Linked DNA regions of Struthio camelus. The main gene of each other region encodes a partner of the protein of the gene in region 2 in a complex. Links are inferred from orthologs where the notes say so. Each region holds a gene or a part of one and is shown on either strand. Other genes may lie near its edges. The genes, in order: AP3D1, AP3M1 and LAMP1.

Region 1 (9,577 bases), on a different chromosome or scaffold from region 2:
CTGGCCGCGCGGCCGAGAGCGGCATGAGATCATCTGCGGCGCGCGCAGCCCGCCGTGAATGGGCGCCTTGTGCGGGGCCAGCGCCGCCGCGCCGGCTCCCCACCCTGCTCGGCGCCTGGCCCGGGGGCTGCCGCCTGGGCTGGCCCCCAGCGTTCCCCAGCACCCACTGCTCCCACCCACACGCAGCCCACTCATCATCCTAACACAGGGCATCACCCCCGCCCATCACCCTAACCTGGGGAACCCACCACCTCCACCCTCATGCAGCCCACCTGTCACCCAAACCCTCGGCACCCACCACCCTCACCCCAGCACAGGGCACCATCACCCTAACGTGGGGCACCCACCATCCTCACCCCAACATGGGGCACCCATCACCTAACATGGGCCACCCGTGACCCTAACGTGGGGCACCCACCGCCCCCACCCCAACATGGGGCACCCATCACCTAACACGGGCCACCCATGACCCTAACGTGGGGCACCCACCACCCCCACCCCAACATGGGGCACCCACCACCTAACATGGGGCACCCACAACCCCAACATGGGGAACCCACCACCTCCACCCTCACGCAGCCTACCCATCACCCAAACCCTTGCCACCCACCACCCCCACCCCAACATGGGGCACCCCCACCCCGCCCCGGGCACCCCCGCCCGCCTCGCCCGCCGCGGCCCCCGGCTCGGCCCTGCCCCTCCCGCCGCCCCTTCCCGCGCGCCGCCGGCGCCGCGCCCCGTCCCCGCGGCCCGGGAGCGGCCTCTCCCCTCAGCCGGGGCCGCCGCCGCCGCGCGCCTTCCCGCCCTCTCGCCCGCCGCTGCCCGGGCCGGCGGCGCCATCTTGAGGGCGGCCGCGGCGCCAAGGCGGACGTGCCCGAGGGCACTGCCCGGGGCGGGGGCGGGAAGCAGCGTTCGGGCTGGCTTTGGTCATGGCTCGCCGGGCCCAAACGAGGGGCGGGAGAAGCCCGAAAGGGAGAGGCGCAAGGTGGTGGCATTTGCAGTGAGGGGGGAGGCCGCGCCCAGGGCCACCCCTGGCTCGGGCTCCTGCCCCGGGGCTCGTTGCTGGGCAAACCCCTCCTGCGGCGGCCCCCGGGGCCTGCCCAGCCCTTGCCCCGCGCCATCTTGTCCTTGTCCTCGTCGCCACATCCTGCCCGGAGCCACTGGCGAGCACCATCAATCCGAACAGGGCCAGCCTAGAGCGGAGGGGGACAGTCCGGAGCAGACCCGGACTGTCCGGAGCATCGGAGAACGTGGAGGAAAGAGGGCTGGCGAATCGGAGCGGTGAGAGCGAGACGACGCTGGGCTCGCGCGTCCCCGCGCAGCCTGGCTCGGCTCGGGCACCGCCAGGCCCCGGCGGATTTGCCCAGGCACAGGGGATGCCGTGTAGGCGCACCATAAACGCGTTACGTGGGCTGAGCGGGAGCGAGCTCGGTGGCTTGTCCTTTTTCCTCCCTCTTCATTTCCGTCAGAGACATTCAGGTGAAGAGATGCCAAGCGCGAAGGAGGCGGGAGCGACTGAGAACAGAGCCGCTCCCCGCTCCCTGGCCAGGCTCTGCGCGGCGGAAAAGGGATTGTCTGGAAGAAGCTGGCCGCGCACGGGCTGCCCTGTGTTGCGGGACTCCTCTGCGTCAGCCATGACGAATCTTGCACCCAGCAGCCCCAGGCAGAGCCTCACCCACACCCCCGGCAGCCTCCATCATTTTAGGGCCTGTCTCGACGGCTATCTCACACCTCCCCCTCTCCACCAGCTTCCTTCCCTCAAGCCTGAGCCCTGCCAAGCACAACACTTTGAGTCACAGAATCACAGAATCACAGAATGGTTGAGGTTGGAAGGGACCTCTGGAGATCAGCTAGTCCAACCTCCCTGCTCAAGCAGGGTCCTCTAGAGCAGATTGCCCAGGATCACATCCAGACGGGTTTTGAATATCTCCAGCGAAGGAGACTCCACTACCTCTCTGGGCAACCTGTTCCAATGCTCTGTCACCCTCACAGGAAAGAAGTTTTTCCGCAGGTTTAGATGGAACTTCCTGTGTTTCCTGAGTCCTTTCGGCAAACGTCCAGCAGGAAAAAGGCTCAGGCAAGGACGCACAGATGCAGAAGATGGGAATAGATACACTCTGCACCAAACTGCCGATGAGGCACGTGCCTTGTATTAAACTTCCTTGTCACCATCCCTTCCCTACCCAACATATCCGCCTTGTGGTGATGCACACATTAAAAACTTGTCTACCATGAAAGCACTGTAGAATTAGGTCATCATGAGGAATGAGCTGTTCTGAAACAAGTTTGGATATCCTGTTCCATACTGGTTAGCGAGTGGCTCGAATTCAGATCTCCATTGCGTTGGTGCGAGTCTGGCCACCTCAAAATAACACGGCTCCAACGTCATTGTGTGCCTGCCCACCCTTCTGGTTAAGTACACGTTCTGCACATTTACTGTCAGCTTTATGGAGCGACCTACTTCTGTCTGAACAAATAGTGACAGAGCATTGATGTGATGCAGAGCGGGAGTGACAAAGCAGGGCCTACTACCCAAAAGTGCCAACTGTGCTCAAACCGCTAAAGCGCATTCCCTTCGTTAGATACCTAGTATAACTGCACAAAAATAGTTTGTGTAAATAGAAACATCTCCTTCGGAAGCAAGGGAAGAGACCATGTTCACCGCACGTTTGCTGGGTGCCTGCTCAGGAGAAGAGACCACGGATGCGGCAGGTGTAGGTGGTGTTTCTGGCACAGATTAGGAGCTTTAAGATTTAGGAGTGCTTTCACGGAGCACAGCAGATTAGTGGAGCCAAAGGGGCCTGGCACCGAGAGGCTGGAGACAGAGCAGATCAAGACCTGTTTGGTTCAGCATCATGTCCTCAAAGATGGTTGGTCCCATTCTTTCTTACGTCAAACCACTATCCAGCTGCGAGGAACCGGCTATCCAGAAACAGGCTTTTAGGAATGAGCCATGCTGTGGACATTTTCCCATAGGGCACATCAAAGGAGGTCAGGCCGTGATTTAGCGCAGTGCTTCAGCAGGAACATAACTTTAAGCAAGAGAATATCCCTATTGTCTATGGTGGGTTTGCCTATGGAGTTTAAGTAATTTCATGTGCTTAAGTGGTTTGCTGGACCGGAGCCTGAATGCAGCTTTTGTAGAAAATCATATTTTTGACCTTCACATTTTAATAGTGCTGCTTTCATGTTCCTTCTCCTGAGCTCAGTTTACACAAAGGTATCAATTAACATAATGAATACCAAAGTCATCCCGTATCAGTTAGTTTCAATGAAAGTCTGGACAGCAAAATGCATGGAGCAGCTCTTCCCTCTGCCAGGGAAGAGGGAAGCTGTGCAAGACAGAGAAAAAATTTCACGGAAATGTTGCCTAATAGCCCCTTCTAGGGGAAAAATAGGGTCAGGGCCTGAACTTAGCAGTTTAGGTCCATCTCTGTCAGAAACGTAATGGTCAAGCTTGTGTTTCCCCCCACTAACAGCTACTAGGTTTCATGTGCCCTTAGCTAAAGCTTTTCCATAGTGTTGAAAGTGCAGGATTTACTCAGCGATGTTGCATTGCTTGCTACTGAATTGCAAATAGGCTGAGAGCGCAGTAGAAGCAGCTACAGCTGCTCATGGGAAGGTTTCTTCCCAGAGAAAGCCTGTTGTGAAATTACAGCAGTGAAAACAGAAGGTGGCGTTATTTATTAAAAAGAAATCAGAGCTGCAATTGCCTTATGGAGACAAGAGGCTTGGAGTTTCTAAGGTCTTTAGATATTATCAAGGGCAATGATTAGGGTTAGAGCCATGGTTTTAGTTGAGGATGACTACAAGGGAATTTCATGCTCTCCATAGTTTGGAGGAAGGAAAGTGCCTTAAAAAAGGAGACTGAACCAGCTTGGACCATCTATGAACATCCATACCAGGAACAAAAATCCTTGCAATCTCAGTTTGGGGGGGATTGAATTCTGGGTTGAAATTCACCTCCACCAGACTCTCTCTTAGTCCCCAGCACCCTGGTTTTGGTGGTGTTAAAGCTGCAGATGTATAACTGAGCACCAATGTGTATTTTGGTCAATCCTTCAGAAGGAATGATGTTTAAATGTGGTCGCTGCAGGAATAAGTAGCGGTTTTGTCCCCTTTGCTTCCTTTTTTTCCTAGAAAACAAACAAATGAAAGGGAAACCCCCAACCAATCCCCGCTCAGCACTGGACATATGAGGAATACAGCTCTCCTTTTTCCCAGAGGACCAACTTTGAAGGTAGAGTTGCCTAATTCATTAATCTCAATGGTGAAGTTTGCAGAAGTGCCTATTGCTGCGCTGTCACATCTCCCAGCCTGAGCTTTCATTCCTGGCCCTGTCTCACGGTTATGACAGTGTGACTGCGTGCGGGGTCCAGGCTCTGACTGAGCCTCTGAAATGATCCGAATTAAAAATAGTGCTTTTTTCAAGGTTTATGGTATAGCCCCACAGAGAGCAGCATTGGCACAACTGTGGAGACAGAGAGGTGGTGGCAGGGGAAAGGACAGGTGGCGGTGGGCAGGGCAGCACCTTCTCAACCTGCCATGTCATGTGAGGGACCCTGAGTCTTGGCTGGTTGACTTTTTTTCCCTTGAAAAGGGAAACATAATGGGTAGAAGCTGAGATATGTGGCCATTTCTGAATAAAGTGAAAACAAGCCCATGAGCTCCCTTCTACTGTGAAGGTCCAACAAAAACAAGCTGTAGGTCAAAAGTTGAAGATAGAGAACAAGGAGGAAAAACATTTTAAGCAAACAGAAATTGTTTTCCTTCGCCTGCCATAAAGAAGCACAAAAGGACAAGCAGATCTTTGCAAGGCCAATTCTTTTTGTTACAAGCCCCTTTCTGTTTATTTATCTCTTTGCCAGAATCCCTTTTTGAAGGCAAAGCTGAGGGAGAAGAATGGCCTTTCTACGTTTTCTTTTTCCTCTCCTTATCCAGAGCACCACCCACCTGCAGTAAGAAACATCATCCTCCAGGCAGACACGCATACATGGATGATGCAGGTATTTGTCATGCCGGTAGATGGCTGGCTGTGTCCCTGGCTGGCAGCAGGAAAGCTTGTCCCATCGGGAAAGGTCTTCGGTGTCTGAGATTGGGTATTTGGCATTTGTGTAACCCACAACAAACCCTCACTGTCCTGGGTGTGTGCTCGGTGTGTCTGGCTGAACTGCCGCCAGCCGGGTGCCAGCGGCTGCACATGTGCCCTGTGCCACCCGTGAGGCTCCCAGGTCCCCTGGCTCTTCATCCTTCACCCAGAGGAGCGCACTTTGACCACACAGGGATTTTTCACCTGGCGAAATGGACTATTATATTTCTTAGGGTGCTAAAGTTGGCATGAGTGATAAGTGACTACAGGTAGTTATCGAGGGTCATGTGTGATGCCCTTGGTGGTGACACCTGGTGCCTGTGGGCTGCATTCGGAACTGAACTCATAAGCGACGCTTCCAAAATCTGCATTTATCAGTTGTGCAGCGTTCAAAAACGCACGGAGAAGGGAGGAAAGGCAAGACACCGGGTAGCCGCTTCCTGCGGCCCTGCCTGCAGGGGCAGCAGCCGCACGGAGTTAACTGCCCTGTGTGAGCCGCCGGGGCTCCGCATGAGCCGGCACCACGGAGCCGCTGCCCAGCCGCGCCCGGACTCGCCCCGCCACGTGGGTCCTCCCGGCCCGCCCCGCGCGGCGTGGGGGGCGGGGCCACGCGGGGCGGGGCTTGCTCGGCGTGGTTAGCGGTAGCGGTGACGCGGCTTTCGCCGGAGGGCCGCGGGCAGGCGGGGTGTGGGCGGGGCCGACGTAAGGGGGCGGGGCGTAGCGCGGCGCGGGTGTGGCTAGCGCGCGGCGAGGCGGGTGGCCACGCTTGGGGCGGGGCCGGGGGCGGGGCCAAGCCGGGGCGGGCGGGGGCGGGGCCGAGCCCTCAGCTGACCGGCCGCCATTTTGTCAGGCACTTGGAGGCCGAGCGGAGCCCGGAGCTGGGGCTTGCGGCCAACGGGGCCGCCGCCGCCCGCCTGTAGCCGCGCCGCCTTGCTCCGCGCCGTGCTGGGGGCGAGCACCGCCCACGCCTCCCCGCCCGGGATGTGAGCGGCCCAGGCCCGCTGGTCTCACCCGGTTCTAGCGGTAGCAGGAGCCGCGGCGGCGCCCCCGGCTGGGCCCGGCCCCTCAGCCCCGATCGTAGGCCCCGCGGCCCGGTGCGGCCCCGCCGCCATGGCGCTGAAGATGGTGAAGGGCAGCATCGACCGCATGTTTGACAAGAACCTGCAGGACCTGGTGCGCGGCATCCGCAACCACAAGGAGGACGAGGTGAGCGGCCCGAGGGGCTGCGGGCCTCCCGCTCCCCGCGGCGGCCGCGGCTCTGCTCGCCCTCGACAGGGGCTGGCGCCCCTTTCCGCCGGCCTGGGGCCTGCCCCCGGGGCCAGCCGGCCTCCTCCCTCCGCGGGGTTCGGCTGTCGCCCCCGTCCCCTGCCAGCCCTCCCGTCAGGTTCTGCCTGTCCGGGGGGCTCAGGGGTGATGGAGGGTGCCTCGGCCCCGCTCCGTGCCGCGGAGGCTTGGTTAGGCCCAGAACAAGCCGGGTGGCTCCCCCTCTCCGGAAAGGGGATGTTGTTTTGAGGAAGGTGCAAGCAGGAATCAAAACGAGAAAGCTGAGACTGGGGTGTAGGCTGTAAAGCCAAAAAGGGAAGCTTGTGGGAGGACGAGAAGGCAGTGAGGGAGCAATGAGTTGAAAAAGAGGATAAGGGAGAGTGACACTTCAGTGTTTATTTTCCTATTTAATATATTACTGTGATGCTGAGCTCACTGATACATCTAATAAAGGAATTCCTACCTTCCTGCACTACAGTAATCAACTCTACAAAAAGCTGAATTCAGACACAACTCAGCTTTGAAATTATTCTTATTCTATACCTTCTAACTGAAACACTTTCCACATTTGTAAGCTTATGTAGGTTGGAAATAGTTGGACATGTTGGCCTATTGCTCGTTTTGTATTAGAGCCACATTACCAGGAAATTAGCAGAGGTCAAATAGTTAGTCATCAAGAACATGTTATATGAGACTTTCCATGTTGAATTTAAAGCGTCACATATTAATTTGGAAGTAACGGACACTAAGGAGATCGTTTATGTTCATCTACAAGTAAGTGGTCATGGCCTTAAGAAGCGCTTATGAATTGTCTAACAGTTATCTTTTAGTTATTCTAACCGGTTATCCTAAATATTTAACAGTTATCCTAACTCTTATTATATTCTTCATTACTGGCGCTGTTGGACTGAAATGTAACATACCTTCCAAAAAGCACTTGGTTTTTCAAATGACTTTTAAGCAGACCATTGTGCACACTACAAGGTGTTATTTGCTAGTGATAATACCTGGGAAACTGTTTAATTTTTTTCATTTGATTGTGTGACTGGGTGTAGATTTGGTGGCACAGGAAGACAGTACTGCTGTGAAGTATGCAGCACCCTGCAAAAAATGGGAAACTGTATGGAGGAATGGAAACAGCATTTGTTAAGCTGTGTGAGGTGATACCTAAGAATGTTTATGTGGACGCTTACTGTGTTTAACTTGTGCTGTTGTAGTTCTAAGCTGTTTTTGTTATACTCGGAGCTGGAACAGCGAAACAATAAACAATTCTGTGGGGTGCTTTTCCATAGCGTGTTTAGGCCCAGTTTGTATGATATGCTGCTTTTAGTAAATATATCTTATTTCTTGTGCGCATAGGACAGAAGGTAAAGAGCACAAGTGCTGTTAAGCACCATCAGGCTTACCAAATTACTGTGCATCATGAGCTGTACTGGGTGTTTGTTCTTAGCCTGTGACAAAACTCAGTTAAAATGTGTTAGCTTTAATTTCCTTTGTTTGCGGTTAAGAAAAATATTTGACAGATAATTTTTTTCACAGTGTTGGAAAAATACACACAAACCTACACAAAGGGCTGTGTATGTTTGAAGGAAGTCACTAGACAGATGTGCACACTCTAGCCTTTGCTAAGGTCAAAGCAAATGTGTTACTTTCCCCTTTCTGCAAGTCAGAGGCTGATGTTGTCAGTTGCAGTAGTTGAAGGGTAAGGTGATAGCGTTTTAAGTGATGGTAGCCCTTTGGTTTGAAATTTAAGTCTTGACACTTTAAAATAGAAAATTAATTAGCAATACTTCTTTAGAACCTCATGTGCACAACAAAAATTAAGAACCAAACTTCTGTTCGTGTTCAGCTGATCAGTTGAACTGGCACTGAAAATATTTGTGTCTTCTGTAGCACAATCTTTTTTGGATTCCTTCAAAGATTTTGCTTAATTATTTGAAGTGACTGCAAACAGTGCAGGACTGTTCCTTTTTCTACTTCACTTAGCGGAAGAGGACTGTAAACCTGTTATTAAGATACTGATTACATTGATTTAGTGCTTCTCAGTGAATGGTCATGAACACTATTTCTAGTTTTCAGGTGATGTTGCAAAATCAGGATAGTATTTTAGAGGAAGTAGCTGCAAAAATTCTTCCTTCTTCTCCTACACTGCTTCCATTGTTCATTGTATCTACTAAGTGTTGCTCAAATACAGAGTGCATTTTTTTGGCTGGCTTCTATGTGTCTCAAGTTAAGTGTCTAAGCTCAAGATGCACATTTTGGCCAGTTCAGAAGAGCAAATGTGTTGAGAACGATCTGCAACGTGCTTTGGTGGCGAGGATATTAACTGCTGGGTCTCAGTAAGAATTACTCTGTGAAAGAAATGTGTCTGGAGATAAGGTATTGTGGCTGTTAAAGAAAAAGGAAAGAAATGAGAGTATGAGTATTATTTTGACCCTTTTATTTTGATTTAGTTATGCTTTTTACAGAATGCTAATTTCTGTTATGTACATTGGTTCTTGCCCTCTGGAATTTAAAATCAGCATGTGGAAATTCCTCCATCATTTTTTTTTCCCCTCATCTATCTAGCAGTCTCTCCTGGTAGACAGGAGATAGTAAGATTTATTCCTTTCCAGTTCTTAACTCTGACAGTTCCCAATTCCTCTATAGGTGCTATCACAAGCTATTGTATCTGGTATTTCATTAAACTAGTGGCTTTGTTCCACTGATGCATCAAGGATGTATTTGTAGTGAAGGATATGCCAAATGGTTGTCACCTAGGTTTACGTGTGTGTTTCTCAAATACAGCTTTCCAATAACCTACTACATTCTTGTTTGATGATGACGTATTCATCTTGTGTTGCTGAGACTACCAATTTTAAGAGTGTCCTCCTCAGCTCACTAGAGGAATTGGGGATACTGGAGGGCTACTGGCACTTCAGCTAACATCCTTGCTGCAAAGTGCTTAATTACCTGTCAGAAAGCAACTTTCACTTTAGTTCCTGATCTGTATCCAAAGCTGACCCATTTATTTTGAGTTTAAAACACTGAAACTGAAGTACTGGTGTGCTGTAAGGATGAGAGGGAGACAAGAGGTAACACCTGAGTTAACCTAGTCACTTTTCAGTGCGGACCTATTCTGTTCTCCGATCTCCCAGGGAAATTTGGAGCTGCGTCGTCCTCCTGTGAAGTAAACACTGCTGGAAGAGGAATGAGGTAGCACAATAGCATTAGGTCTTTTCTTAA
Region 2 (10,115 bases):
GAAAGTTCATCTAGCCTTTGGAGGAATTCAGTTGTGACTGGAAAGAGACAGAACAGTTACTGCGTGTCAGCACCTTTGGCACCAGGGACAGGAAGGCCACCACCAATTCCTGCCTAGGAGAAGCCAAACACATCTACCAAAAACCTAACATAGTTTTCATTCATCTCAGGAAGCGTGGCCAGGATCATGCCACAAAATGGAGATAAGCTTTGCTCCTTAGCTAATGTAACTCTGGCACAGAAACATGAAGACAGCACAGAAACGTCTACATGTAAATGGCCCAGTCCCACAGAGATTTTTAAGGAGTCTGAACACTGCATGCCATAGCACTGGGAAAAGCCCATAGCTCCAGAGCGGACTCTTGCTGCTGTGTCTAGAGCTCAACTGTCCAGAGTACTAGGTTGACCTTCCAACTCACTTGCAACACTGAAAAACGGTTTGGGCCTAGAGAGATTGACAGTACCAAAACAGGTCTTCCAAAGCTCACCTGAGAAGATGAAAAATAAGTAATAAGGAAGACAGCCAGCATGCTATTTTCCTCCATGTAAGACTGCAGAGGTGGGAGGGAGCCAAGATACAGCTTTTCCAGTTTTACTCTCTACCTGCTCCTTCACGTGCAGGACACAAACATGCTCACCTTCAGGGGGTCCTTGCCATCTCTTAAATACCTCCTGTAAAGAGCACAGTCTTTGCTGGTAGATGTACAAAGAGCAACAGTCAATACATGGATGGAGAAATCCTATCAAGCCAACACGGTGCATAAAAGGAGTTTAACTTGGAAACTGTAACTGTCAGTTTGCTTAGGAGTAGGAAAGGAAACAAATCTACAAACTAGTACTACTGCAAGTTTCCACTATACCTTTCATGGATCAAATTCATCTCTATCTTTGTTAAAAAAAGACAGACAACTTTTATACTGCGAGCACAGCATTCTTATAAAGGGACCTTAACACAATTGCTTTAATCCAGTTTAACCAAATGTGTTCCGAGTTTAGCCAGTGCTGAACATTAAACCCCTCCAAAATCTCCTGGATAGTCACACAACAGTGGCAAGTATAATCAACCACTGAATGTCAGTATTGTTCCACACCAAGGCAGCCCAAACATATGAAGGTGATCAGCTATAAAGCTCAGAATAGTTCTCTGTACATTTTAATATGGATACAATAGCATATCTGTTAAAGATAAAGCCCAGTTCCCAGTAAATGCACACAGAGCTGCATAGGAGAGTGTCAGTATTAGCAGCGCTAGTGCGGGCTGCACTGATAAGACTCCCATTTCCAGAAGACTTGATCTATAGACCGCGGTGAGGGAACAAGGCTGGACTGTGGGGCAGCTGTGGATGATACACTGGCAAATATACTTGGAAGTGTTACAGGCTACTTTTAGGCCCCAGCAGTTGTCCTGATGTTAAAGCTCATACAGATTCTATTGATCAGAAACCATTGCATTTGTTACTACACACTTGAACAAATACGGCAGTCCAGCATGCCACCATAATCGCTAACGAACTACAGTCATTTACTTATGCAGTGATCACAGCTGGCTCTGCTGGTAGATGAAATGACTGTGTTAGCATAGCCACTTTTTTTGCCAGAAATCCCACTTACAATATTAGACCATGACTTGATATGCAAGAGGAGGGCCTGGGCAGCCAGAAAGGGCAGCAGCACTTGACCACTGCCTCTATCTACTCATTTGTGTTCCTGCCCCAAGCAGCCCAGATGCTAGTTGTGTTCATCCGAGTGTTTGGGCTGCCATGTGGTAAACTGGAATAGCAAACTGATCCGGAGGACCACACTTGGCAGATCACGGCTTTACAGCACCTGTGGAACGCTGAGCAGCAGAAACCCACCTGACTGCCTACCACATCTTCTGCAATTTTTACACAAATTCCTATTATACGTTATTACTTTACTTCAAGCACAAGAATTCCCTTCAAAACCCCACACATTCCCCCTTTCCTCCTTCACAAGTTTCAGCAGCACGTTGCTAAGAAATGTGAGTTGAAGTGCTCCGGAAAAATGGCAGCTCTCTCTGCACAGACCAAGCACAGAGCAGGCAGTGCACACTCTGACAGCAACCGGCACAAGGCTGGTCCTACGGGTAACTGGGCAGCTCGGCTTGTTCGCTTCTCTCTGCCGCTGGTGACAACAGAGAAGCTCTAGTAGCGGTGGGAGGATCAATCTGTTAGGTGCAAGACCAAGTCATCTGATTTATCCCATACACTGCCAAACAATTGGCATCAGCCAATTAAAATGGATACTGATGATGGATATCTTATGTAAGCTAGTATTTAACAAAAATTACTTACAGGACTTCCAATACAGAAGATTTCCCAGCTAATCTATTTTTTGAGTGCCAGACTTCATTAAGACATTTAGACATCCCTGAATTCATGTCTCATTACCCTACCTTCTCCTTCTATCTCACAAGAGCTTTGGGGGAGGGGAGGGGGGGGGAGATTAAAAACAGTGCAAGACAAGAAATCAATCCAGTAACAGTACGATTCCTTATACCAATAGGTCAAATAAATGACACAAGTGGCCAGATAGCAAAGCAGGTTAAGAACTGGGACACTTTGAAGGTAAAGGTCTCGAATCAAATTTCTTAAGTTTAAAAAACAGTAGTGAAAGCACATGACCAAAATTTAAGAACTGTCAAACCTTTGCAGTACTGTACACAGAGACCACTTTGAGATGGCAGCATAAAAGCAATAGATGTAAAACACTAAAGGCGTATTTCTAGGAATATTTCAAAAGGACATATCTCCTCTATCTCTGCTTTTAGGCATATTCGAAAAAGCAGACTAAAGATGTGCATGGATTATTACTTTCATCTTTAGCCCAGAGCAAGCCATTCATGCTCATTTTTAACAGACTAGCAGCCTTCGATTGTGAGTGATCTCACAAAGCACTGCAGCACACGTAACCCAGCAGAGGTTCTGCAGTTTCTTTTCACAGATTTCCCATCCTTGCCAAGAGCTCTGACATATGAAATTCCACAGGCTTCTCTTTAGTCGCTTCTGTTCTACCAGAATTAGAAGAACTACAAGTTCTTAGCTAAGGTGTCTTCAGTATGCTGATTCCAATTCTTTATCTTTTCTTTTGATTAAATTTGGATATTGCAATTTCACTCTTTTCTCTGTCTCTTGGCAGAGAAACATCTGGACTAAAGTCACAGTAAGTTCACAAGATGAAGCAGTGCTCACTGGTAGAAAGGAAAGGCTGTGTTCATGGGAACAACACTGACAGCATATGCTTGTCCTCAGCTACAATTAGGTACTCTAAAATTTAATTAATGCGGAGATACTCTTGCCAGCTGCTTTTCCATAACACTGAGCTGAGTTACAGTCAAAGCTCTGCAAACCAGGAAGTAAGGAATTAATCACTGGCCTCTGCAACGCCCTTTACAGCTAGTAATAATCACTGAGACTGTCTCCGTATGGGATGGACTATAACAAGTAAAAGTCTGAACATACCATCACTTGCAAAGTATTCCAGAGCTTCTGTGTTCCTGGTATTTAGTGCAGCTGCCCTGAATGGTGGAAGGATTAGCGGGAGTGGATTGTCTGAGCCTCTGTTATATATTTGTGGAGATGAAGTTGTAGTGAAAAGCCCTTAACAGAACGGAAAGCAATCTAATGCTTAAAGTAAACTAGAGAAATGAATAAACCTAAATAGGTAGGTCTGTTTCTATTTTGAAGCTAGTATTTTTGTCACAACCAGAACGCCAGCAGTTCAGCTTGTTCTTATAAATTCAGGATTGACACATGACAAAACCAGACAACCTACATTTCCCACCTCCCCAACCCCATTCACCAGCTCTTAAAGCAGCAAACCTAATGAAGAAAAATCCTATCGATTACTTTAATGACATTTACAAGACAGCCAGCGTTTCAGCTCTGAACACACATATAACTAGTTGGGACTAACCGGGATACAGCATTAGTAGTTGTGATTCAGTATTCGTGATTCAAGATGATGCACCTGAAAGTCTCAGATCTCATCAATACGTGAGTGTTCTGCAACTACCATTTTTGCAGGGCTCCTCTCACTGTTGGCATATGTTACTGCTGCTACTCAAGTATCATCAGTCTTTTCACTTACAGGATACCACAGCTTAGGTGTCCATACTATTAGGGTGAAATATATTTGCAGTCATTCGTCTGAACTGCTTGGTGTCCTTCCCTGTTATTCAAGTGGAAGTCCCAGAATCAAAGCAATTCTAATCCAAGATCATCAAGTGCTTGTGTCTGTACAGTAACTGCTTAGATGCATATTTTATCAGCAGGGTCATCCCTGTTAAAAACTAACCAGTCTGCATCCCAGCTGCTCAGTATACATTTATCTATCTTCACTGTCATTTAAAACAGTGGTAATAGCTTTCTGGAATTCTTTCTGAAAGGAAGTAGTCCTTTAAGAATACTATGAAATTGTCTTAAATCAGTATTTAGTATCCATAACAACCTTTCCAACCACCTCCATGTTTTTTACTAATAACAAACACAGTCTGCCTAAGAATTTGCGCAGTATTCCATCTACTGAGAGACAGGCTTTCCAATAATATGTTTGCATGCTGCCTTTGTTCAATTTAGTTTCAGCATAAATCCTTTAATTGCTGGCAACTGCATATAGTTCCATCTCTTGCCAACACCAAAATATTAGATCCAGAACAACTGAACAGTATTAGATAATGAATAACTGGCATTCCCTTTGGGTTCTGCAAGAACTGAAAGCTTCACTGTAGAAGCTGAAAATCCAACGGAGTTGCTTAGAAAAAAAAAAAAAAAACCCTAAAAACTGATTGCTAAAACTACATTTTTTACATGAAGATGGAACAGCATCTCTAACACAAATTACATCAAAATCAGTTGATTTAGGACTATTAAGGGACCATTTAAGAAATTCATTCTCTGGAAATGCTACTGAATAAACAGATAGGGAGGACTAAATTGACATTGATAGGGTCAACGTCTTGTCACATTTCCTGTCAAAGGGATTTTCAGGAACAGACTGATAATTAGGCTCATATTCCAGTCAAACCAGAGAACTGTGACTGGCCAGGGCAGCAATATTCGATCACAGGAAACAAAAGCCTTGCCCTAGTAGCTCTTTGGGAAGATGTTTTCCATCATGCTGTCCCAATACACTGCTCCAGCAACTGTGACAGGCTGGAGAGATAGTGCCACCAGCTTTATACTGCTCTTTTTTCATACGCTCTATTTTAAGAGGCACTCTAGGTTCAAGAAAGGACATGCACAACGCCCAAAGGGCCACGCAGTACTGAAACACTACACCAGAGACAACCAGTATCACTGGAACCCTGCTGTCAATGACAGCTCTTACTAAGGTGTGTGCACTATGCCACAACTAGTTCAAAATCCAGATGGCAGAAAGAAGGCAAACTACCATTTTTTCCTTCCTTTCTCTTCCATGACAAGAGCACAGAGCTGCACTCCTTGATTTTACCATCTGAATGAATAAAATCAAGCTCCATAATAGTGAATGTTAAAGAGTTCCGCGCAGTTCCCTTTAAAAAGCAGCCTTTGATGCATGTTTGTTGAATAAACATTAAAAGGATTTCACTTGTTTTCTGTGTATTACTTAAGTTTTGAAAGCAATGTAGGAAATAAAATGAGTGAAAACAACAGGAGAATAAGAGGAAGAAATTCTACATTTTAAACAGGTTTAATCAGGTTTCTTCCTGTCATTACAGCTATGAAGTACAGCTGCCACTTGTCACCTGCTGTTCATGCTTCTCTACCTCAAGGACTTCAACTTCTTCTTCAGAAATAGAAATCTTATCATGAGAATTTAAGATTGCCTAAAGCAGAACTGCTTGTAAAGGGAGTTTTGTCTGAAGGAGTAAGCGGGATTTAAATGTGTCATAGTTATTTTGCACAACAGAAAACTTCATTTTTGGGCAAGGACAGCAAAATTAAGCACTAGAGAGTGTGCAAGGATCTTAATATTTAATTTGCCCTCTGTGAGGAATTTTCAGGCAAGTGCACAGGGACTGGAAGCAATCTACTTATTCCATTTTTTCCAAAACCAGATTTGTTTGTGCTTTGAGTTAGCAACCAACATATCACAGATTAAATTCTTGACCATTAGAATGGAATACCATTCATTTTTTTTTCTTTTATAATAAAAGAGAGGCTATGTACAATTCAAACCTCCTAGCAACAGCTGGCTGAACCTTTCTCATGGCTGATGTTGTCAGTCCCTTTGTAAAACACTGCTTCCATCATCATACCTCTTGCATGAGTAATTTGATTTGCTTGTGCTTTTCTTGCAAAATAGCTTTTCCTCACCCATAATGCAGTCTGCCTTCTATGAACATGAACGTTCATTATTTGTTATGATTTTTTGGCTTGGTCGTTTATACAACCGCTACACTTCATGGTGAACCGCTTATTTCTGTTAGATCCCCCTACATTGGGTACAAACCATTCAGCATACTGAAAAGACGGTAAGTGCATTGTTACTTCAAAACACATTAGCACCCCTGAAACAAAACAAAAGAAGCTGCAACCTCCAATTACCCTGTTACAAACTGAACAGGGCAGAAGTGATGTGGAGTACACAAGGAAGGATGATAATGGAGTGATTTCTAGCATACAGCACAGAAATGTATACTCACAAGGACCCTGGCTAATTAAGCAGGCATAGCACGAGCAGATCCACTGGGTCTGCAGCAATGATGCTAGAGTAAGATTTGGTGAGCTGGGTGCTACCCCTCCTGCAGCCCACCTGCCCCCATGTCTCTTTGCTGCAAATTTCTCATAGAGCCTTGAACAGCAGGTCCTGCCTCCTTTCTCCTGGGAGGATCTGCTTAAGCAGGCCCCGTACCAGAACAGACCCAGAGCCTGAGAAACTCGGACGCGTAGGGGAAGGAAGGAGGGAGGGAGTAGAGGGCAGTCAGTAGTCTGCTCAAACCAGTCAGCCCCAAGGGCAACGCATGCATCTCCTGCGCACCGGCCAGGGCTTGCCGTAGGGAGCACCCCAGCTTGGCTGAGATCTCCTGGTCTCTAGCAGCTGCTCTCTACTACCTCAGTTGCACTGCGACTAACTCATTTATATTTCCAAGCATAAACTAATGTTCGGGGAAAAAGTATTAACAACAATGTACTGTTTTCGTCTTTTTAAAGCGGATTCGGAGAAAGCCAAGGAGTTGTACAGACACAAGAAAGGCACTAAGGTAACAAATCTGGGGGTGGGAACACATCCGCTAACTTACTCTCCAGGGGAGCCACAGCTAACTTTACAGAAGGGTAACTGCTGAGGTAAAGCTCTTGCCCGCGTGGAGTATTTGATCTGTCCCCTTCTCCTGTAAAAAGGAAATTAAGACCTCCCTGTGCATAATCCTCCTTCTCATTAGCACTTCTCGTTTCAGAGGACCATCTACATAAACTGTTTCAGTTGGACACGTGCACAGAGCGAGCTACAAAATACTCGGCGAGTTTAGGCGCTTCTTAAAAAGAAAACTACATAGGCTCGCTGTCACGGCCTTCCCTTGCCCACATTAAGCCTCGGAAACTTATCCCGTGACCGGTTTGTTCCGGCACGGACTAAAGACCAAGCGGCCTGGCCGAGGCCGCCGTCCCCGTGCACCTGCTCCCTCCGCCCTGCCCGCTGCCGGCACCGGCGCCGGGACCGGGACCGGGGCGAGCCCGGCCTGGCCCGCTCCCCCGGGCGCCCACAGCTCCCCAGGGCCCCAGCTGAGCCTTTGCTCATGCCCAAAACACACCGCTCCGCTCCCGCACGAGACGGCAGGCGGCTGCGGGGACCTTTTGTTAAAGCGCAGGAACAACGCGGCGTCTGGGCGGCCGCTGAACACCCGATGCCAACGCAACGGGGAAGCAAAAGCCCTGGCGCTGCCTGGCAGCCGCCCCTCACCGCACCTGACGGGGAGGCCAAGGCCACCCCGGCTCCCGCCGCCCCGCGGCTCGCCGTGAGGCGCGGAGCTCCCGCCCGCCCCGGCCCCGGCCCCGGCCGCACGTACCTCCCCCGGCGCGGCCCGTCCCGCTCCCGGCCGCAGCGGCCAAGATGGCGGCGAGGCCCGGCGCGGCGCGGGGCCGCCCCCCGGCGGAGGCGCGGGCGGCCGGGGCGCTGCCTGCACCGAGCGACCAATAACAGAGGCGGCGGCGGCCGGCTCGGCGGATCCCCCCCTGCTGCCCCTCCGGGGGTCCCCGCGGCCGCGCACCGCCGGCCGGCGCCCTCCGCAGCCGCGCGGCGGGCAGGGCCCGGGCGGCGCCGGCAGGCGGTTAAAGCCGCGCGGGCTGGTGGCGCGGGTCGGGGCGCTGCGCTGAGCGGCGCGGGGGGGAGCGGGCGGCGCCGGGGCTCCCGTCAGGCGCCCGGCGCGGCCGCCTCGCGCCATCGCCTCCGCCCCCGGCGGCGGCGGCCGCGCCGGGGCGGGGCGGCGGCGCCGGGCGGGAGGGCCGAAGCGAACGCGCCGCACGCCGCCCAGCGCGAAGATGGCAGCGGGGGAGCCGCAAGCCAAGAAGCTCAAGCTGGAGCAAAACCAACTTAGGTAACGGGCGGGCGGCGGCCGGGGGCCCGGCTGGGCGCAGAGGGGAGGGCGCCGAGGGCCGCGCGGCGCCGCTGCCGGTGCCGCCCTGGCGGCGGCTGAAGCACGTGCGGGCGCCGCCGGGTCCGCGCTCCTCCCCCCCCCCCCGGCCGCCCCGCTGCGGCGGGTCCCGCCGGGCTCTGCCCGCGGCGGCGGGAGGAAGCGCGGCCCCCGGCGGCGGCGGCCGGGCCGGGTGGTCGGGGCGGTTGTGCCGCAGGTTTTCCTGGTTAGACCCTCAGGAGTTCAAGGGGCTTCCTGCGCCCTTGCTGCCTATCGTGTGATAACGCTGAATGGCGCCTTCGGTTACTGCTCCCGGTTGCTTGCCCGGGAGATGCAGCTCGTTACCTTCGCGTGTCCCTTCTCCTCCTCTTTTTTTTTTTTTTTTTAAATTTTGTCTGCAGGAAGTCGTGATCCGTACCATTCAGGGGTCTCTGCTTGCTCTCGTTTAGGCAGGATTTTAAAGGGATCTAAAAATTCTTGTTAGCATGTGTGCATGTCGTCTTCAGGACATGTGACATACTCTCAACGGTGCTGAGATTAAATTAAGCAGGAGCGGGAGCGCAGTGCCGTTTGCCGTACTTCCTGATTTACCGCCCGAGCGCGGCTGCGGAACTGCGCTGACTGAAGCCCGGCTTCTGACGGATGGTTTGCACAGACACAACTCTCCCTTTTTTCTTTTCTTCTTCTTTTTTTTTAAATGTCAGAGCAGAAAAAATACGAGGTTACTCAGTGCAGGAAGCATGGTCAAAATGAACGCTGAGAGATTATCAGCGGACCTTTTGTTGGTGCAGTTTTGGGGTTGTTTCCTCGGGATTATTTAGAAATGAATGTAATTGTATGGTGTCTGATCTGCTTCCAAGTATTCAGTATATGAAGGGGATTAATGACATAAGGCTTGAAATGCCAAAAATAACCCTGGTGGTAACTAATAACTTATTCAAATACAGGGTAAAAGAGATGTACAGAGCTGAGAACAGTCCCTTTCTGTGCTGATGGCCCTTGCTGAAAGAACTAATCCTATTAAATATGTCAAAGTCGGGGTGCTTGTTCTTCTGGCAACTGAGTGACTTTTCAAGTCTAGTAATAGTTGAGAAGCTTGGTTGCAGACAGTGGCAGAGGAGAAAAAACGTAACTGAGCTCTAAAAGTAAATAAATAGCATGCAGCAATGTAAAATTGTAATTAAAAAGCAACAACTGTTGCCAACACAGGATGAGAAACTGGGAATTGCTTTCTGTTTGTACAGTTTAACAGAGGAAACTGCATTTTACCTACCTGAAGCCCAGACATAAAAATTCAAAAATTTCAGAAAACATTACTGAAGTATTGAATTAAAAACATAACGGATGTTTACAATGGAATGGAAAGCCACTGTGACGTGCTCTCGTAACAACCTACTAAATCAAAAATAGTAATTTATAAGGCACCCAATGGATACAACATACCAGGAACGCTGTTACAACCTGTATACTCTAATCCTAATTTTAATATGAAGCGTAAACTAGACTTCAGTCCTATTTCACAGGGTGAGAAAAGCTCTAACTGA
Region 3 (10,020 bases), on a different chromosome or scaffold from region 2:
GAAAATGCATCCTCGCCAAGTAACAGGGACAAATTCACACAGCCAGCTTCAGATTCCATTTCTAATATCATTAGTTTAAGTTAACGCAGTAAACATTTTGTATAGCTTACTTACAAAATCTGTTTTGCAATTCAAGTGTCCAGCAGAATGACCTCTGTCTTTATAAACACATTTATAAAGGTATAAAAGCATTATAAAGGAAAGGCTATTCAGCAGCTGTGATGTTACTGTTTGGCCAGAAAATAGCACAATTGCATCAAATTTAGTCACATGAAACTTCTTTATGGTTTACTCTCTAGAAGAAGGAAGTCCTGGGATAGCTCTACAGCAACTGATGACATGAGTCTACGGGGAGCTTCTGAATTAGCACCTCTAAACTTTCTTCAGCATCCACTCAAGCTCATTTTGCACGTGCTCAGGTAATTGCAGCTGCACCACAGCACACAGCTAACACATCACTCAGGGTAACTGACAGGTGAAGACAACCTTTTGAGAAAGGCACACCGCCTTGCCAATTTGAAGAGGAAAGCCTCCTCAGAGGATAGCCAATTGGGAAAGAGATAATAAATCAACTGACCTGGTGTGCCACTCTCCTACTCCAATGACACGAGGGTAGCTCTCACTCCTATCAAGGAAAGCTAAGTCTTACTACTATTCCCATAACACTCAGCCTGCAAATTCTGTCTAGCCAGAAACTACAAACCACTAAAGGTTAACGCAGGAAAACTAAACGTATCAAAGGAGCAGTTAGACAAGTACCCCCACCGTACAGAGCTGGACCACATTTGAAACTGCACATTCTAGCATCAGGGCGCTACGAACGCTCTTACACGTGTAATCAAAGTAGCAGAAGTAGCGCTAACAGCCAGCAGTGCTGTCAAGTGACATAGAAGGCTAAGAAACAGTTACCCTTAACCTGAAAAGCAACAGCGGTTTGTCTTCAAGTCAGATAACACAACAAAGTAAACAGCTGAATGAGTCTACTGCCAAGTTTAATAGAATAAACAGCAAGAAATCAATGACAGCGCTAATCTTTCCCAAAGAATTTCCAAATAATCCTGTCTGACCCAAGAGGGGAAAGGCTAAACTACTGCAGTTAAGCGGAAACAAGAGGTGGAAGGTGTGCCTTTTAAGAATTAGAAATAAGTTTCACGGGTTTCTCAATGAAATACCCATCTTCTCCTTTCAGCAAGGCTCCCCCTCAACCCTAGAGTAAATTCTTCTACTTATCACCTACAACCGATTAGAAATCGTCCCATTCACCACAGAACAATCTAGAAATATGCTTCAGCAAAAATGAAGCTTGTAAATCAGTCCAAACAGGAACGCAGGGAGCATATCTCAACATCAGCATGTCAGGGAGCCTAAGGAGTTCTTACTCTGCAAGTAAGAAGCTGCTTTAGAAGTCAAAAAAGCTGCACAAGTCAAAGCTGAGTAGCTTATCACAGGATAACAGACTCAGAACTACAGTAGAAACGTTGAGACTCTGAACACACTCAAAGACACTATCAAGCAAAAACAATGTTCAGGGCAGCAGAAAGTAGCATTTGATAAAAGAATTTTTCAAGCATCGTGTAACGTACAAGCAGTTACACATCTATGAAAACGGCTCTATATCCTGTCTCAGATAGCTCCCTATAACTAGCATTCCCAATGTTAAGGAAAACATAAAACAATTATTCACGGGCTAGAATTTATTATTAAAGTTTCCCCTCAACTATCCCGGTAAGTTACTGATTTTGAGAACCATTTGTGCCTGTTATCAGGACTGCTCTAATCAGCACATCCAATGCAAGTACTGACTAGGGTTTGAAAGTCCTCTTCAGACCAGAGTTGTGCAACAGAAACACCTGGGTCGTGCGTCAACAACCCTGAAACAGCATCATGCTACCTTCTCAAACTCATTCTCCTCTCCCCAAGTCTCAGACACTTCATTTGTGCTTGACTCTAAACTCGGGTTTTTGGAAATGTTTTCTTTGACATATTTGTGTTTCAGCAGGGAAAACACACTATATTCAGGTGCAATCACACCCAAAGAGCGCAAGCAACTCTGCTGCGTTTGGCACACAAGGCAACTGACACTTCTAGTGCTCAACGGCAGAGTATGATCTTCCTTCGTATTTCAAAAGCAACAGCTAAGTCTGTGGGAAAAGTACTTCATCTCCCACTGCCCCTATTGCCAGTATTTATCACTGTATTACTTAAAATATTTGTATGAGCATTTGAAATTTGTGAGGAAATTCAGCAGGAAATACTTAACGCAGACACACAAAATACTCATCTCAGTGGCTTGCTGCTCACTGTGAATGAAAAACTGAAAGAGTAAGTAGGGCGTGGTGAACTATTCATGAAAAAAAAATCAGGCGCATATCAACGCATTGTCCCAAATTCAAAGCACTGCCAAACAATGCTTCCACATTTGACCCACCCAGTCAAATCCTAATGCTAATCCTTAAGTCTCCTGTGATCTTTGAATTATCATGATCAGCGCTCGCTCAAATGACTGCAGGGCTGCAACTGAACCGCAAATGAGCTGTAAAAACGTCCAAAGAATTCACCTCATATAAGGCCATTTTTCTCTCCCCCCAATCACCCCACATTATGGCACAAGATGGTGGAGGCTATCTATCCTCCATGGATAGGAGGAGATCTATCCTCCAGCGTCCGTTTGCACCAAATATTTCAAAATTATAGGACGAAGTTATGTAGAAAGATTAAGCTACACAACAAGACAGGTACAAGATCCTAATTGTTAGCAAATATATCTACTTTGTAATAAAACGCTCAGCACCATCAGAAGCCATACACTTTACAGGCCAGAAAGTGACAAAGCTAAATGCACAAGAATACGTTTGCAACTGCTGGGTAAGCAGAGGAAGACTACTACTGTCCCAAAAAGCACTACCTGTGGTACCACTGTAAAACTATGCAGCTTGCACTCAGAGTGCAAACAAGCAATTTTTAAGTCTTAGCTACATTATACAAGCCATATAAGGCGCTCCCAGTGTAACACCAGTTCAATGCCACTTAAATTACAGACTCCAACCCTAACAAGCAAGCTTGCTAACACTGTTAGTCACCACGCTAGCTAGATGAACGCGGAGCGAAGCCGGCAGCAGATGTGCGCGCTGCTCAGCGCCTCTCGTAATTTACAGCTTTCAAGGTTAGTAAGACGAGAGAAACCGAAGCGCCGTCACCAAAGATAAACAAACATATTTACTAGCCAAGAAATCTTAAGAGAGACGCGAAGGCTGCCATAAGCTCCAAAATCAGGGCAGACAATCCGTCTCCGCGGCTGCTTCATGCGGGGAAGCACTTGGCTAGCTTCTGAACGAGCCCCCTTGGCTGCCAAAGGCTCGTTTCAGAAGCGGGGCAGCGTCGCGCGAGGTGGCTTTCCGCGCGAGAAACCTACAGCAAGGCACTTATCAGCAAACGCGCAAGACACGCTTCCTCAAAAAAAAAAAAAACAAAAACAAAACACCCCAAACCAACGGTCCTGTCGCACTAACACCCTTCTCTCTCACCAGGGCAGCAGAGCGCAGATGTCACACGCAGGTTTTTTCACGCCAGAGGGGGAGGAAAGCCGCTGCCAAGGGGGGGGGGGGGCGCGGGGGGGCACCGCAAGCAACTGCGGAACACGCGCGCTCCCTCCGCGCCGCGCCGCCAGTCACCCCCCGCCCGCCCGGGCGCGGAGCGAAGCAGGACCAGGCCGCGGAGCACCCGCAGCTCCTCCGCGCCAGCCCCGAGCCGCGGGGGGCTGCCGGGCCCCCGCGGAGGCACGGCCGGCGCCGACCCGCTGCCCTCCGCGCCCCACTCGCGCGGCCTCCCGGCCCTCCGCGCTGGCGGATGGCCCCATCGCCGCCCCCCCCGCGCCGAGGCCGGAGCCGCCGCCGCCGCCGCGCACTGGCAGCGGCAGCCGGGCGGGCGGTGCCCGGTAAACCGGCGCGGCGCAACCTCTCCCTCCCCCCCCCCTCCGCGGCGGACCCACCTTACCGAGCAGGGCGGCCGCCGCGAGCAGCCCCCGCGCCCGAGCCATGGCGGGGGCGGAGGGTGGGGTGGGGAGGGGGGGGGACGAGGCGGCACCGGCGAGAGCGCGGAGACGGCGCGAAAGGCTGCAGCGGCGGCGGCAGCGGCGGCCCGGCTGGTCATATGACCTCTGACGTCACCGCCTCGCCCGGGCGCTGGCACGTGACCCGCCCGCGGAGCGAAGCGGAGACCCCGGCGTTTGGGGGAGGCAGCGAGGGGAAATCTCGCGAGAGCGGGGGGGGGAGGGGGGTTACGCGCCCTCCAACGGTCCCTCGCTCGCTCCCTCCCTCCCTGCCTGAGGCGGCGGGCGGTGGCAGTGACTGGGTGTTTACGCACACGCAAAATAATACCTATATAAACACAGTTGAGGGGGGGTGTATATGTGTAAGCACGTGGGGCAGTATGTATACCTAGATATATGCGCGCAAGCATATGTATATAATGCATGTGCTGAGTACGGTATATGCAGTGCGTATATCCATGTACAAACGAGCGTGTGAGGCATACAGTGTGTGTAGTATATGCACAGCACGTGCGTGGCTGCGCTGTGGTAACGCCGCACGTTACGCGTGCAGGTGGGGTTTGCGTAGGGCTCTGAGCTATACGTAGCCGTGTCCGCGGAGGCTGGTGCGCAGTTAACCGCGGGCGGTTGCACGTATAGGTGGTGCGAGCAGCTATACCATACCCATCACGCGGTTCAACCCCGCGTGCAACCCCAGCGGTGGCCCCAGGCTGCTCAGGGCCTTCCTGGTGCCCGTGCCTCACGCTGCCAGCCCCGGCGCCGGCCACCCGCCCGCAGCCCGGACGTGCGGAGATGGGCACTTGGTGGCTTGGGGACTTTCTGCAGACTGTCTCATCTCGGCTACTTTTGCCTGGTAAAAACTGATAAATGAGAACTGTGAAGAACCATCGAGGCCCAGGTTCACCCTAGCTAATTTTAGGCATTAGAATTTAGGCATTTTAGTTCCCAAGAGGGGAACGCAGTCAGTCCAGGCGTCCCTGGGTTAAAGGGGGAAGAGGGTGCTAGAGGAGGGTGAGCGGCACCTTTGGTTACAAATTAAACCCACCTAAATTCTGAATTTCTTCCAGAATACCTTTCTCGCCATGGAGTATAAAGACTGTCTAAGGTGAGTATAGTCATCTTGCCCAGGCTAAAACCAGTCCTAGCTGTATCAAATCACCAGAGGTTGAATAGTCTCAGTTACCTCTGAATTGATGCTTCTATGTATACCTGTGCGTATATATAATCCATGTATCTGTTTCAAGCTAGAAGAGGGATCACTAATGAGTTGTGGTCATACGTGTAAAATTGGGGCTGCATGGGCAAAAAGGTGTATGGGTAAAGCTATATAAAACAGCTTCTGATGTTGTTTGATATTTTTATATACAAGAATTTTAAGAAACCACTTTTTTTTGAGAAAACTAGAAAAGGTGAAGTTTGTCAGTATCAAAACTGTCAGCTGTTAACACAGAAAAGGAGATACAGAGCCCAGGACATTCGATCCTTTCTAATTCAATTCTCTTTCTTGCCTGAGCTGTTAAGGATATACTTTCTCACAGAAAGCATGTACTTCAGAAGTATTTACTTTACTACCAAAATCCTATTTTTAGTACTGTAAGAAAGCGTGCCAGTAATAGGGTGTTTCTGCTTACTCATACTGACTCCCATATCATCCCTCTGCTCATTACAATGTACTCTAGACCAGTCAACTCTGAGACCGAATCCTTTATCCTCCTGAGCTGCCTTTCTACATTTTTACTTAGAACCAAATTGAAATGCAGTTCAGCTATTATTACCAGCAGCTAAAAGTCAATTATAAGTGTTGTAAACTTGATGACCTTCTGCTGTTTGGCTCAGCTCACTTATGTTTCCTATTTCCCCAAAACACCGTAGAGAAGATTATTAGCTCTTCAGCGTGGCTTGTGGATGTGCCTGTTTTTTTTTTTTTTTTTTTTAAACACTGTTACAATAAACAAGACATGTCTTAATACTGCATTTTTGGAGACAGAAATGTTTTCTTGTTGTATCCTTACTTTTTTCTACAGTACATTTATTCTCACCCTGCATTACCAAAAGCAGAAGTTACTCAGCTTTAAAAAGGATGTAATCATCAGCTCCATCAAGTGTTTGAATGAGTCATCTGCAGAGGAGTTGAGGTTAATGGAGGTGGGACAGCGGTTGTTCTAGGTTTTCGATCACTGTTTTTGAGGCCTGCACCGGGAGCAGGGGGAGGTCTGTGGGCTACTTGAAGTCTGCAAAAAAAGCGAAACAGAGAGGGAGCTCCCCTGTCAGGTTTGAACTTGCTATGCGGTGGTCTGCACCTCTACTAAAAAACTGGTAGGAGTCTGTAATTTGGAAAACGTTGATTTTTGGATTAGGACCAGTTAAAAATCAATCTGTAAGTTGCATAAAGCAACAGCACTGTAGCATGAAATTGGTAAGTAAAGAACATTTGGTCATGAGCAGAGAATGATGCTGATCTTATATGCTGTGAATAATTAGCTTACTAAGCCTTTTATAGCAGTGTAGAGACTCCACAGTAATCAATCTCTATGTCACTGTCAGTAAAAGCATCAATGTAGTGATTGTTAGCCTGTTTTCCTAATGAACCGAGTCTTGTGCAACCAGTTTGGCCATTAGCCTCACTGCTCAATAACTTGGCTAAAATCAATCAAACTTGATAGCAAAAAATTTAAAAATTACTACCATAAAAACTGGTATAAAGACAGAGCACAAAGATCCAAGTTAGTGCTGCCATGAAGCAAAAGGTAGTCTGTACCTAGCCCTTGCATGTTTTCTTTTACAGAGTTGCTGGCTAATCAACACTGACAGAGTTCCAGATTAACTCTGGTACATCTCTGACACTGAAGAGCCATGGATGCATAATGGCTGCATATGGGGAAGAGCATGGGAAATACCTGTGAGATATAGGAGACCAGTTACACAGCACACACTCTTAAGGCAGAATACCACTACGTAAGACAGCATCGAGGTTGAGAATTTTTACCAGGGAAAAATTTCACTGAAACATGACTCCATTTTTTCTTTAGCCTTTTGCTGCCTGTTACCTGACTTCACAGGGTTATTTTCTGTCTAGAGACTTGCGAGGAACAGATAACCAACATTATAGTAGAGTCCACTCCCCCAACACAACTGTCAAAGCTCATAAACGTACAGATAAGTCTAAATGCACAACAATTGACGCACTAAAAAAATTGCCTGAATGGTATGTAATTTTTTTTTCAAATGTGTAGCACAAAAAAAGAAAGACTCTGAAGAATACACAAAGAGTTTGAAGCAGGGCAAATGAGTTAGATCATAAAGCCAGGTCCAAATAAAGGACTTGCAGTGGGAGCTAAAATACAAAACTAGGAAAAGCAAGACACAAGCAGTGGGCAGGAAGGAGGCTTTTTGTGGTTGGTTCTTTTTGTCCTTCCATACAAGTTGCTACACAGTCTGTTCCAAAGGTGTTGTGTTGCCAGGGACTTCTCAAGACTTCTCTTTCTACTGAACATGGATGCGCTGCAGAGGAAATCTGTTCCTTTGCCACACCCTGATATCTTCAACATTAGGTGATCTTCCAGCAAGAAAATTTGAGACACCTCTGCCCTGTGGGCACAATACACCCAAGGATGTGGTGAACCACCAAATAGCCAGCATCAGACTAACAACTGGCTGGGACAGGATGCTCAGCCGGATTCTATCACTAGCTTTAAAAAAAGCAATCAAATGCAGCTATTTTACTATGAAATAGCGATTACCGGGCTGACTGATAAACTAAATAGTGATCTTTTACTTCTAAACTGCTTACCTATTTGTTTAGCACATGCAACATCCTAGGAGGAGGAATATGAGAAAACCAGATTAAACATGAGGGCCTGAGAAAGAGAGTCACGCGTGATGACACAGCCCATCAGTCTCTCGTGGCTCCTGAACCTCTAAGGCCGCTGTCAGAACAATTTCAGAACAGAGAGGCCGAACTAATGAGAGAAACACAACAGTGCTTCTTGAGGTTATTGTGGTTGGGGGGCTGGGAGCAAGAGAGGGGGAATACAGCATAGGACAACAGACATATACATCATACAAATGCAAGCTTAATTATTTCCACTGCTCATGTAACAACTTATTTTTAATTGGTATACCAGACAGAGTAATTCAGCCAAGAAGTTCTACTCTACGGCAATTAAGAAAAATTGCCTATCTCAGCATTTTTAATTAGTCAATCAACATCGCTTCATAAGGCAGAACCATTTAAATCATCTCCCGAATAACACCACTGCTTTTAACATAATTGTTTAAAACCCCCGAATGAGGAAGTTTGGGTTCAGAAAGGGAAGAGAGTACACATTCACTTCTTGATATATACCACCAAATTGTGTTGTCCATTACTGCCAACTTTCTGGGTGGATAAAGCCTCTGCCCATTTTACTTCTGTGAGGCATATATGTCTTTTTGTTTCAAAAGTCTAGTAAGATGGAGCTGATTAGCTTTCATCTGCAGTGAAAGTAAGTTACAAGGCAAGTGTTATAATTAACACTAAACAACAAACTGCGTAAGTACACTTAAGTGCTACATTCTCACAAAGGCTAAGGAATTAATGTTTAATATGCATCAAAGTTTTTATTTGAATTAACTGAAGATTCAAATATTAAAATAAGTCTACATTAAATTACAATATTAAATATGTTTTAAATACAATAAACTAAACACATGTTTAGTTTCTAAACAAAGGGAATAAAAATAGTTCAAAAGAATGCAATACAATTAATGACATCAGATGACAAAACAAGGACTTTAATATGTAAACTCATGAGATGTCAACTTTTAGCAATGCTTACTTTAAGAAGAGATGGTGGCCTTTTAATTGATGCACAAAACCATATTACATAAACTTAGTAAGTTGTCTCTCAAGAAAATATTGCTCAGTTAAATTCTCATTATACCATGATCAAAACCCCTTCCTTTGGTAGCTCTTTATCAGAATGAAACACACTATTATGCAAATCCTGAAAATAAGCAGCAGCTTGTAAGTATTACCACAAAAGTATCTTCCTTATAATTACAGTTATCTAACAGATCTACAATGTCTTCCATTCTTTAATTCAAATCAACTTACATATATACAATATGTAACAAAGTACTCACAAAAGCCTTAGTCATTCAAGACAAGAACTATGCTTTCATAACATCAAGACTGTAAAAGTCTTTTTTTTTTTTTAATTTTTTTCCTTTTATTTATTCTGTTTAAGTGGAGCACACTGTACAGTAGTTTCCCTGTATGTGACTTTAAAGGCAAAAACTAAATTTACGGCAATTACATGAACAGAGATAAAAACCAGTTGCCCTAAAATGAGGTAGGGCCTCTTTGACTCAAATCTTAATTGCCACCCAAACCAGCAAAAGTAGTAATAAAATAATAATCCACAAATGAGTATCTTGGCTAAATAATAAGACATCTCACTACACACATCAACACAGTTGTCCTCTTGGCACTTCAAGGATCTCACTTCAAAATCTGATTTATCCAAACCAGACTGAAGTTTATAATCATTTGAAAGAAAATTAAATGAATACGAGATTAAAAGTATTCATGGTGCATAATTTCAAAAATTTCAGTGTATTTCAACAACACTGCTTGTACATAAGTGTTCATCAATTTAGGGTTTTTATAAAGTTACCCAAGTTGTCTCTGTAGCTAAAGAATGCAGCATATTATAGGGTCTCCATGGATGCACAGTCAGGAACACACACATGAATAAACCAGACTTGCATCTATCATAGAAGTATTTCTTACACAGGTAATTTTACCTTTCCATTCAATTTCAATGACATTGTTAAACAAAACTGTAGAAACAGATTTTCAAGAACCCCAAAGAACAAAAGAAATAACTAAAAGAAATAAAAATGTGACATTTAAAATTACTGTGGAGTCTTGACAAGGATGATCCAATGAACGTGTCGTTTTGCTTCTCTTCCATAGCAGTGCATGCAGC

What was found.
Region 1: the proteins of AP3M1 (region 2) and AP3D1 are in contact, whole or in part, in a cryo-EM structure (PDB 9C5C), measured with the Homo sapiens proteins. The link is inferred for Struthio camelus from reciprocal best matches to the Homo sapiens genes AP3M1 and AP3D1. Residues at the interface, in NP_001307192.1 of Homo sapiens: Ser25, Ser27, Asp30, Tyr31, Glu34, Pro52, Asp104; in NP_003929.4 of Homo sapiens: Lys29, Glu388, Gly389, Thr390, Thr391, Arg393, Glu429, Arg432.
Region 3: the proteins of AP3M1 (region 2) and LAMP1 are in contact, whole or in part, in a cryo-EM structure (PDB 9C5A), measured with the Homo sapiens proteins. The link is inferred for Struthio camelus from reciprocal best matches to the Homo sapiens genes AP3M1 and LAMP1. Residues at the interface, in NP_001307192.1 of Homo sapiens: Glu178, Tyr180, Phe181, Asp182, Gln381, Val389, Asn390, Arg391, Leu392, Phe402, Lys403, Gly404, Val405, Lys406; in NP_005552.3 of Homo sapiens: Ser410, His411, Gly413, Tyr414, Gln415, Thr416, Ile417.

The regions. Positions count from the first base shown.
Region 1 is NC_090967.1:3,339,710-3,349,286, reverse strand, and holds the start of AP3D1 (AP-3 complex subunit delta-1), read left to right. Parts: upstream 1-5,894; 5' UTR 5,895-6,199; coding exon 6,200-6,295; intron 6,296-9,577. UniProt on the Homo sapiens protein: Part of the AP-3 complex, an adaptor-related complex which is not clathrin-associated. The complex is associated with the Golgi region as well as more peripheral structures.
Region 2 is NC_090948.1:25,427,348-25,437,462, forward strand, and holds the start of AP3M1 (AP-3 complex subunit mu-1), read right to left. Parts: upstream 3,622-10,115; 5' UTR 3,485-3,621; coding exon 3,482-3,484; intron 1-3,481. Other genes in the region: ADK (adenosine kinase), read left to right, coding at 8,480-8,535. UniProt on the Homo sapiens protein: Part of the AP-3 complex, an adaptor-related complex which is not clathrin-associated. The complex is associated with the Golgi region as well as more peripheral structures.
Region 3 is NC_090942.1:156,760,404-156,770,423, forward strand, and holds the start of LAMP1 (lysosome-associated membrane glycoprotein 1), read right to left. Parts: upstream 4,317-10,020; 5' UTR 4,037-4,316; coding exon 3,994-4,036; exon of another isoform or gene 3,989-3,993; intron 3,750-3,988; exon of another isoform or gene 3,525-3,749; intron 1-3,524. UniProt on the Homo sapiens protein: Lysosomal membrane glycoprotein which plays an important role in lysosome biogenesis, lysosomal pH regulation, autophagy and cholesterol homeostasis.